Linked DNA regions of Arabidopsis thaliana. The protein of the gene in region 2 purifies or fractionates together with the protein of the main gene of each other region. This does not show direct contact. Each region holds a gene or a part of one and is shown on either strand. Other genes may lie near its edges.

Region 1 (4,866 bases), on a different chromosome or scaffold from region 2:
TGGTTGTCGTTTCCTTTACAGGAAAAGGAACGACATGAATTTCAGTGCCAAAAAGATTGAAATGGTGGTTAGGAGTCAGGCTTCAGTCTCTCTCACCTGACTCTTCACTCACTTCCATGATTTCCTTCCTTCTCTCCTTTTTCACTTTTCTTACTCCATCCTATTCCTTCTTTAAAGCCACACACTCTCTCTTTCTCATCTCACCTCAATACGTGATCTCCTTGATTTACATTTTTTTTTTTAACAAAATCTTTTTGTTCATTAGGAAAGAAGAAATAAGCAAAAAAATTAAGGATAAAGTATATGGAACTTGTTTTTCCAATCTAACTTACCTAAATTTGTATAGGCAAACTCCGTAAATCCAATAAAAGTCCCATACATGAATTAGGAAACAATTTATCCCGCATTATCTGCGGATAGAAAACAAGAAACAGAAAGTTGATATTTGATTGAGTATATTTAAATGAGAGAATATCGTATTTTCGATTTTATATATATATATATATATATATATATGTAATGTTAAGGAAATATATTAAGACATAATAGTATACTTATACTTGTTTAAAATGAGAGAACCCGTAGTTTATGTATATATTTTTTTTTTATAACAAAAATATGTTAACCAAAATTTAATTAAAAAATATGTTATCAAAATTCATAAAATGTTGAAAATCTACAACTAAACATTTGTTACGTCGGAGTTGGAAGTATCGCCTTTCCGTTTAATCTTTTACCAAAATCTCCGGTGGGTTCTATTTTGTTCAACCGCATTCGCCTCATAGTATCTTCAACCCCTTTCGTAGAAAACTGCTTCTATCCCTAACATCACAACTCTAAGCTCACCTAGTCAAACGCAATAGTTTCGGATTGCTAAAAAACAAACAAAAAAACAAAAAACAAGAAATTATCAAAAGAGATGGACGACGTGTGAACGTTGTTGGACTGCTCTCAAGCCCATGGACCACAATAATTTTAAAGACAAGAAGAAAAACTTGCTTTAAATTATCATACGCATGCCAATTAATTCGGTCCCAACACCATCTATAAATCTGTAAAAAGTAAGCAAATTGAGTAAGAAATTCCATAATGTGGCTGAATAAGAAAAACAAGGTTTTCAAGATTGATTTGCCAATATTAGGATAGGGGGTTCTTGAAGATAAGTTGATATTCTACAAAACATGTAAAGCAAGCAAAACTTTGACTTAAAACATTTGAATGCAAACCATGTGCCACAATATAAAATCCATGTGATAGTGATGATATTAAGAAAAATTTAAAGGGTGGAGTCAAAATCTTGGCTTCCTAAGAGGTTTCAACGTCTGAGAGATCTTCTCGGTAAAGCTCTGACAGATCTTCTCTGTAAAGCTCAAAGTCACTAGGGCTCCATCTGCAGAGCAAGTTCAGCTTGAAAGTAGCCATCTTCATTCGCAATAGACGCTGCAAAGTAAACAAACAAGTATAAGAAATAAAGCATACAAATTAAAAGGAAAGGGTTTTGGTATACAGAAGTCTTATTACCAAAATGTGGGCTGATTTTGGCGAAAGTTGTTTTCCTTCTTCACAAACTACAAAGTCAGCGACCAACTCCACAGTACCTACATATTAAAATAAGAAGAAGAAATAAGTTTTTGGATTAATATAGATAGCAAAAGTGAGTATGAGAAAGAGGAATATTAAGATGGTGAGACGACAGACCTTTGTTTAGTCGTACAGGCATTTCAAGCTTCCGAAGAAGTGGTTCCATCTCATGTGTGAACTGTTCTAGAGGACCTTCCTTCAGTTCAACCTAATCATTTAGGTGGTACCAATATAGTAATTAAGATAAAAGTAACGAAACAAAGTTTTTTAAATAACAAAGAGAAGCAGAGCCTGATCATAGTCAAGCTTATTTATTTATCTAGAAACAACAGTATATAGAGATGGCACAAGTTCTGTTCACAAACCGTTTCTACTGCAATGCTTCCGGTCCTTGAAAAGTCGGAATCCTCATAAGCGTTAAATAAGCTGCAATACACAACCAGAAGAAGTATTGTGAACAGTTACAACAACTAGACATGTATACAATTCAAACCCGTCACTGTTGTTTCACCAAAGCAAAAGAGGAAAAAAGAGGACGTCAAGAGATACATAGATAGATACCTTTCGACTTCTTCCTTTGGCATATCAGTAACAAGAAGTCCAGTATCACCACGAAGCAGCTGAAACAACATTCCACAACATATGTAAATCTAACTGACAAAAAATGACCATTTAACATAAAAGAACCATTGTAAGAAGCAGAATACACAAACCTTGGAGACTTTGTAGATACCAGAACGGAGTTCATCTTCTGCAGAACGACCAAGAGCAACCTGCATCACTTTGTTCGAACCTAGGAAGAACCTAGACAAATAAGAACCGAGTCAGTCATAACATTCAAGTAATTCTAACATCAACCAGAAGAAGGACAAAGAAACTAACTTTCCATTGTGCCTAAACTGCTGCCTAAACTCCTTGAATTTGATATTTCTCATGTTTTCAAAAGAGAAAACATAGACAGAGGAATATTTTTCAACAGCCTCCCTAATTCCATTCACAATACACTCCTTATGCTCTCTTCCTTTCTTCTTCGTCTTAGACAAAGTCACTGCAGCAAAAAATCAGAAAACAAAACCCTTAGATAAACCATTCATCAATCGATTCAACCATAGAAGCTATGAAAAAACATTACTAACTCCAACAAGTTAAAGTTTTTTTCAAAAGGGTTCCTCTAAAAACCTAACAAAACCCTAAAACCCTTGACGGCGGCTACAAAAGTTACAGCTTCCAAAACCAGTGACAGAGATACAATGGTTCAGACAATAGAGAGCAGAAAGAGTGAAGGAAGAAGAGTTCTAACCTGGTCTATCTCGCTTTGATTTAGGCATAGCTGAGGTTTCAAATGTTGTATGGAAGTGAGAGGAACGAAAGTGAAGGAGAACGGCTTCTGTTTATTAAGCTCCTTTCAATTTTCTTCAGGGAAACTGAAACCCTTGTTCCCTTGTTTGCTTTAATTCGCACTTTTTAATCTGGACCCCTAATTCAACCCGATCCGGATCCGGCCCGTTTCAGGCCTTTTAGCTATCAGAAATCTGGGCCGATTTTTTTTTGTCATTGGAGGGTGTACTAGTTTAAATTTAAATGGATTATAGTGTTTTTAGTTTTTTTTGTTTTGTTGTGCAAAAGTTTTTAAGTTAAGAAATTAAAGTTTTAAATTTAATGTTATAAAAATTAATTAAAAAGTGGTACTTTCAAAATCATATTATTAAACCTCTTAATAATGAATTATAAATTATTTATATGAATGCTCGGAAATTAAACAATGTAAACGTATAGGGAACAATAGGAACAACCATTAGTAGTGAGTAGTGATCTCACTACTGGCAATTTGTTCGAGACTAAGGGGATGGGTCCACTCATTTGTAGAAGTCCTCAACCCTTCTCATGCTCGTAGTAGTCGCCGTGGCTTGTGTTTTGTTCTTGGACGAGAAGTTTATTTGGGAAGGTAAAAGACAATTTATTTATTAAGATTTGATAATATTTATAAGCATACACTATATTATTGTTTTCAAATTGAAGTGTACTTGAAGCAATATATTTATTTTTATTTTTACTAGGAGCAATATTGATTGTATGTGGGCTATATATATGTCGTGCTATATGGCGAAAAGATCAAGAGATGAGTGGAATTAGTTCCGTCGGGGGAATTAAAAAAACACACAAAAATCGCTCGAGATTGTTATAGCTAGTGGTATTGATAGTGGCTCGATCTATGGCATAAAAGAAAATGATGGAAAATATATGACATTCAATTGGGGTATCATAACGTTCTCTAGAGGTTTTTTTGTGTGTGAAATTTTAATTGGGTCAGTATGAATATAACTTTTTTTCTTTCTCATTCTTATAATATGTATGTATGAATTGATACTTGGTTTTCACTTTTGGTCGTATCATCTTTATGCAAGTCACATGAAAGAGAGCAGAAGAATGGAAAGAGAATCCAAGCCCAAAACTTCCACATTTGGATCTTTACCAAGTGTATTTGGCTTTACGTACGCATGTTGCTTACTGACAATAATGATATACGAGCCTTTTTCTTTCTTTTGGAGTTCTTGTGTGTGGCAAAGCCATCGCGGAAAAGCCACAAAGCATGCTTAGCACGTGTCAACGTCAACCTAATATGTTACTTTTATTTATATCTTGTTTAACTTCACAATTATGTTTTAATAAATGTTAATAGCACCGAGCATGTTTCTGCATTGTCATTTTGGCTCATATAGTAAAACGCATTACCGTTCGTATAAGAATGTGTGGCATCGATGTAAATGTATAATAGTTTTCTTGTCATGTTATAACAAATGCTTTTGCAAAAAAAAAAGATTCTTTTGCAGTGAAACGCTCTTGAAAGCTTGTGGAGCTCCTTTCATAGAACGACAATAAACAGTTTCGTCTTATTTTTGCATTACGTCTTCACTTTGTATTCTGTTTTCCCTTTGATCATGAATATACATTTCAACACATAAACTCTTTTGTTTTTCTTTTCTTTTGTCTACAAGAAGGTTAATCCTTCCAAACTTTGCTACTTTAGTAACGAGTTTCCAGAAACAAATATTTGAATCTCACATCTTCCTATATCATGAGCTAGGAGGATTGGACAGTTAATACAATTGAAGTGGAGCACAATGAAAAAGGTATAGAGGTAGAATTAAAGACGAAAACACCTTGGCTACATAAATAGAGCTGATCATGAGCTAACAGGATTGGATAGTTAATAGTTAGAGACTTAGAGTGGGTATCAAAGTAGAAATCAGAAACTGTGGGGCGAAATCAGAGAAATGTGGGGAG
Region 2 (5,756 bases):
TAAGCCAAATCTCTCGTGTTTGCCACAAAAGTTTGGAAGAGTTGAGTTGTTGTTGTTGTGGATCCATTTCCACCATGTTTATGAGTATCCTCAAGAAAGGACTTCATGATCAGCAACTCCTTCTTCATTTTATCAATCTCACCATGGACTCCTGACAATAACAAGGTCTCGTTTTCCAGGACACTAAGAATCCGTCCGATCCCAAAATCAACAGTAGCCGAAGCCATCTTCCTCAGAGTCTCGCTTGAACCTTTTTTCCTTCACTGATTTAGTTTCTCTTGGTGAACTTGCTGAATTTGAGCAAAGCCAAGCTTTCGGTTCACACCTTACATGCCTGCCACATAACATTTTGATCAATTATCCTTAAGGACCTCAACAAAGTCAACGTCCTTTACTTGCGTTAAAGTCAACACGGGTTTAAACTGCTTTCACATTTGCAACTTGGAATTCAATTTGACGGATATGGTCGAGTTTGGAAGTTCCAAGAGAGAGACAGAGAAATCTGATGTACTGAACTCGGGTGTTGTTTTCGTCATTCGTTACCTGAAACTGAAAGGGTAAAAGATTATTACTTTCTTCTGAAGGGCGAAGAAGTACACTTACCTCAATGATTTTTGAATGTTCTTAAGATATTTGTTAAGCAAAGCAGAATTGGAATAGAAGAAACGTTAATTAAAGAAATCAAAATCGCTTCAGTATTACTACTAGTTCATGAAGCACATATATCAGAAAGTTTAACCGACCGACTCATAAACGCCAAATACAAAAAAAAAAAAAAAAAAAAACGTTGTGGTTTCCAATCACTCATTCTTCAGGCAAAAGTCCAGCCATTGGGATTTTAGCATCAATCTGGAATTCTTCGTCTTCTCCATCTTTGTTCTTCCTATAATCCACTTTGAAATCATAATCTCCGTCCATCAGATCCTCCTCATCAGCTCCTGCTTTCTTTGCTTTCTTCCTCTTCTTCTTCTCTGCTTTCTGTTTCTTTGTATTCAACATGCTTTCCGCTGCGTATAGCTTCACGTTCTGCCTCCCCGTCTCTGATTTCTCCTTCGTCTTTCCTGCCTCTTCCTCCTCCTCCCCTCCCATTGACTCATCATCATCACTCTCATGCTCAGCCTCCTCTTCCGTCTGCGTCTTAGACTCATCCTGTTTTTTTTTTTTGTGATACATCATCATAAACAAAGATTAAATCCAGACCGAGTCATTTACAAGCAAATGGAATCACGAGAGAAGTTACCAACCTCGATCATAGTTTCATCGAAATTGAGAGGACCATTTGAAGGAATAATAACAGGGTTGAATTCGTTAACCGTCTTCAAGCTCCCAATGAAAGAGGATTCACCACTGTAAACCTCATCGATGTTGAAATCCTTGGCCAGCTCAGTCACAATCTTTGACTCTGCATGTCCACCCTGGTCCCTCTTTGGCGGCATTGTATAGTATGGGATTTTACCTGCATAACCATTCATATTAGAGACAATGATGAGTTAAGAAACTGGTTTTCAAAAATGCTTTTACGCTTCAAGTTTACGAGGAACAAAAAAAGATCCGCACCTTCATTCCAGTCATGCAAAACAATTCTGGCAGCAGCATCAATATCCACAAGACCACCCTTTTTAAGTTTACCCCTTACAGTGGCGACTTTGTAAAGGAAATCATCAACTGCCTCGAAGCTCGGGATTTTGTAGAGAGTCACCAGCATATCTTTAGGACAAAGCTTGAGAATTTCCTTCACTATTTTTTTCACAAAGCAGAAGATTTCCAAGTTAGGTCACTCAGATTATAACCTTTAAAAGACAAAGCACAAAAATAAGTGTGATTCTATCTTGAGCTTATATCCAATTACCTGGACTAACTGGGTCATCCAACTTCTCGATTCTTTTACAATTTCGGAGAGCTATGGAAGCATCATTTCCTGATGATTTCAACATCACAACTCCAGGACAATCCAGCAACTTCACGTTTTTGTCCAAGTGAACCTCTTGCAGAGATCTAGTCAGTCCAGGAGTGGCACCAACATTGACAACATGCGCTCTCTTCAGACTGTTAATAAGACTACTCTTGCCGACATTAGGCAGTCCAATAATACCAACTGTGATAGATTTTTTTAACTGCCAAAGAACAACAAAGGAAGATTTAATTGAAACTGAATGATATAACTTGATGCTAAGGTAGGATGATTAAAGTTTAAACTATGGAACCAACCTCATGACTTCTTGAGTAGTTCTTCAACAATTTGATAAGAGTGTCTGCTCCAAGACAATCACTCGTCTGCAACATATTGCTTGGTTTTGATGCCTTAGATGATTTCCAACCCAAGTTTGATCTCTGTTCCTGGGTGCTACACTTGAAGGCAACAGCTGGAAATTCTTCCCTAAGGTACATAAGCCATTTCTCAGCAGCCTCTCGGGGAACAAGATCTGGAGAGAGTGAATCAGTTACAAAAATTAATTACACCACCCAGAGTAAACAAACAACTTATTACGTCCACGAGTAAAGACTGAATATATGAACTTACCAATCTTGTTCAGCAGCAACACAAGATGCTTATTGGGACCGGCTTGCATCACCATCCTCTCCATGTCAGTACAACGAGTGCCAAGAGGATCACGGGCATCAAGAACCTCCAAAATGACATCAGACAATTCAATGACTTTAACTAGCTCCTTGTAGAAAGCCCTCTCCGAGTTATCTGTGAAACAAAAGACATTAGTGCATGTAAAGGCAGAGAGAAAGCACATAAACGCGTGAAGAAGGTATCCAAAACAACTCACCTCGAACATTGACAACTTTAGGTAAGTCCTCTATGGTCTCTCCTTCTGTCTTGGTATCCTCATCATCAACCAAACCAAGTTTCCTCTTTTTGGCCTGAATAGATTTATTAGGAGAGATCAGAACACAAGCACCACTCCAAAATACGAGTAAATCAAACAGCAAGACATGAAAAATGCAATCTTTTATCAATCAATCAAAACTCAGAACACAAAGGAAATAGCTTTAAGAATTTCGACCTGAACTTAAAGTTATATGATTACTAAATATCTGAACATGTATCATAGCTGTGAGTTACAATGTTAAAAGAATGAGATTACCCTTTCTTTGCGAGCTTCTTTCTTCTGTTCAATCTCCTCAAGAGCACGGGCACGTCGAACTTCAAGGGCTTTAAGCTCTTGTTCCTTGAAAGGCCAGTCATTGGGTATACCTGGGTCTTTCTCTACTCTTGGCTTACGGTGAAGGCCAAGCTTTTTAGCATCCTTTGCCTTCTTCTTGTGGTGCTCCTTCACCTTTTTCAGGACCTTATGCTTCTGCTTCAAGGTCACCCTCTTACTCTTACTCTCTGCAAAAAACCATCAAACCAATCAATAAAACCCCAGTAGGAATCCTGAACTGAATGATATGATTCAAATTCATTCAATAAGACAGATCCAGAATATCAATATGATTGAAGGATGTATCTTACTTTTACTCCGTTTCACCATCTTTCTCGCCCTGGGATGAGAGCGACGCAAACAGAAAAACTGAGTAGGTTAAAAGAAAAGGGTTTATGGAGAAGGAAGATGGACATATCGGCGCCAAATTAGGGTTTTGCTATTAGATGTACTTGGATCATTACCCGACCCGTTATAGTTGACCCGAATCAACTTAAAAATATTGAAAAAATAATTGGGGTGAGAGAGGCTCGAACTCTCGACCTCAGGATTACTCAGATAGCTATGAGACCTACGCGCTAGCCAACTGCGCCACCACCCCGATGTTAGTAATCTTTACTGATTATGTAATTAACTTCAATTGACATTCGTTATCCAAAGTCATAATAACCTTGACTTGGACCAGTCACCTGAAAGTCTTGAGTTTTTTTCCCTTAAGATCCCGCCGGGCTCCGGTGCTGGCGGTTAAACCCTTCCAAAACCTGAAATTCGTTTAGCTTAGGACAAACAAGTGAAGCCCACCATACAGAAATGTCTAACAGAAGCCTCCATTTGAAGAAAATATCATGGCTTTCTTCTCGGATTCTCTCAGGTTTCCGAATTTTGATCGTCTTCTTCGATTCTAGCTTTCTGGGTTCCCACTGTTTAAGCGTTCTTAACGATCTTTTTTGGTTGTCGTTTTGCTCACTAGACAATGTTCACGGTCGATTTCGCCGATCAATCACTACTCCAGCCACTTGTTTAGCTCCTTCACTCGATGGAGACATGAACATTGGATCCAAGACATTGGTCGAACAACGTTTCTCTCGCGGGTAATTCGATTTATAATCTTAATTACTTGGACAGGTGTTTTCATGGTCTCTTTCTAATTCGTCCTGGACAGTCTCTTTCAGATTTGCATCAGTACGACGAGTATCTCGAGCTTCTTCTTCTTCTTCTTCTTCTCCTTCCTCTCCACATGTTGATTTGCTCTCTTTTATTAAAGCTTCACTTGATAAACTTGAAGGTAACTGACTGTATACTGATTCTTACATCTTTTTGTATTGGCTTGAAACATCTCTTTGTGTTGTAAACAACGTTTTGAAAATGAACTCTTAGGTCCTTCCCATCATTGGTTGAATCGAGACTTTGGGAATAAACAGCTTTTCAAGGACAAAGGAACTTATGTAGTTCTAGCTGGACATTTGCTAGACGGAACAAGTGATCTGAGTGGTTTCTTTGAGAAACTAAAGTTGCTTCAGCAGAGGTTTAAGAAAGCTTTTATTTTTGTTAAACCAAAGAATAATGGTAACTTAACGGCAATTACGGCTAAGTATTTGTTTTGACTTTTCAGGTCTCCGGGTGTCTGTTTCATGGGCATCCACTTCAGTGATCAAGCTCGAATCGCTGATGATCGAACTGCTCTAGCTGAGTTGATTTTGAAGGAATACCTCACTTTTCCTGTGCTACTTTCCGAAAAAGAATTTCCCAAGGTATATATTGTTATGTCCAAGAAATGTCGCTGTAGATTACTTCTTTGTATATCATTCCCTCATGTTATGTGCATATACCTCGATTTCAATTGAAGGTGTGCTGTTTTCTACTTGTATCAGACAAGTGGGGAAGTACGTTACATCGTGTTTAAAGATTTTAAGAATCCTCTAATCTACGAAGAGAAGGATCTTGATATTGCTTCTGTAGTTAAAGGTATGCCTACTTTATTATCATATATTCACTACAAATAGTCTCTACAATGTCATACTTATTGTTCCATGTTCAACTTAAGAGAAAACAGAAATTCATTATGCTACTTTTAGCTTGTGAATATTCGTCGCTTCAGCCTTCTATCTCGTGATTTGTGTGCTTAATACATATTCTGGTTTCTTTTTCTTGCGCTTTGCTGCAGCTCTTGACAGCCTCCTCACTCAAGATACTGAGAAATCCAAGTCTGTCAGACTTTTCACGAACACTTGGTCAAAACAAGCAGAGGCTATCAAGGAATCACATTTCCCTTCTTTCTTTCAGGATTTGTTACTTTACTTTCCAGGTATGTCTCTTTAATTTTCTTTCTTTTTTGGTCTTTTTGAAATTTATCAGGAATTTTCATTTTTGTCTTTCACGCTACTCTCTAATATTTTGCTCACAAAAATTTGGAATAAAATTTTGTTTTTTTATTTAACAATTGACATTCTCTGTGACAGGTTGTATCTCTGCAGACGAAGTTGGAGACCGTCTGTTTCTTTCTGATACCAACCATCATCGTATTATTATTTTCGAAAACAGTGGGAAGATTGTAGACAGTGTAAGTGAACTGAATCACATTTGGGGAATTATAATCTTTATTGA

What was found.
Region 1: the proteins of NSN1 (region 2) and AT1G25260 fractionate together in Arabidopsis thaliana (co-fractionation; one large-scale study listed by BioGRID). This does not show direct contact.

The regions. Positions count from the first base shown.
Region 1 is NC_003070.9:8,852,858-8,857,723, forward strand, and holds AT1G25260 (Ribosomal protein L10 family protein), read right to left. Parts: upstream 3,018-4,866; 5' UTR 2,910-3,017; coding exon 2,882-2,909; intron 2,630-2,881; coding exon 2,464-2,629; intron 2,386-2,463; coding exon 2,295-2,385; intron 2,202-2,294; coding exon 2,143-2,201; intron 2,008-2,142; coding exon 1,947-2,007; intron 1,790-1,946; coding exon 1,699-1,789; intron 1,599-1,698; coding exon 1,522-1,598; intron 1,441-1,521; coding exon 1,306-1,440; 3' UTR 677-1,305; downstream 1-676.
Region 2 is NC_003074.8:2,228,798-2,234,553, forward strand, and holds NSN1 (GTP-binding family protein), read right to left. Parts: upstream 3,565-5,756; 5' UTR 3,483-3,564; coding exon 3,464-3,482; intron 3,341-3,463; coding exon 3,096-3,340; intron 2,872-3,095; coding exon 2,778-2,871; intron 2,696-2,777; coding exon 2,522-2,695; intron 2,424-2,521; coding exon 2,209-2,423; intron 2,115-2,208; coding exon 1,850-2,114; intron 1,738-1,849; coding exon 1,558-1,737; intron 1,457-1,557; coding exon 1,245-1,456; intron 1,150-1,244; coding exon 805-1,149; 3' UTR 558-804; downstream 1-557. Other genes in the region: RPM1 (NB-ARC domain-containing disease resistance protein), read right to left, coding at 1-227; emb1974 (NHL domain-containing protein), read left to right, coding at 3,963-4,023, 4,123-4,243, 4,325-4,437, 4,530-4,677, 4,765-4,903, 5,024-5,117, 5,317-5,457, 5,612-5,712. UniProt on the Arabidopsis thaliana protein: Involved in the differentiation of epidermal cells, probably via the regulation of the expression of meristem-related genes (e.g. CLV3, STM, KNAT1, CUC2 and AG) and of leaf polarity-related genes (e.g. YAB5, FIL, AS2, PHB and PHV).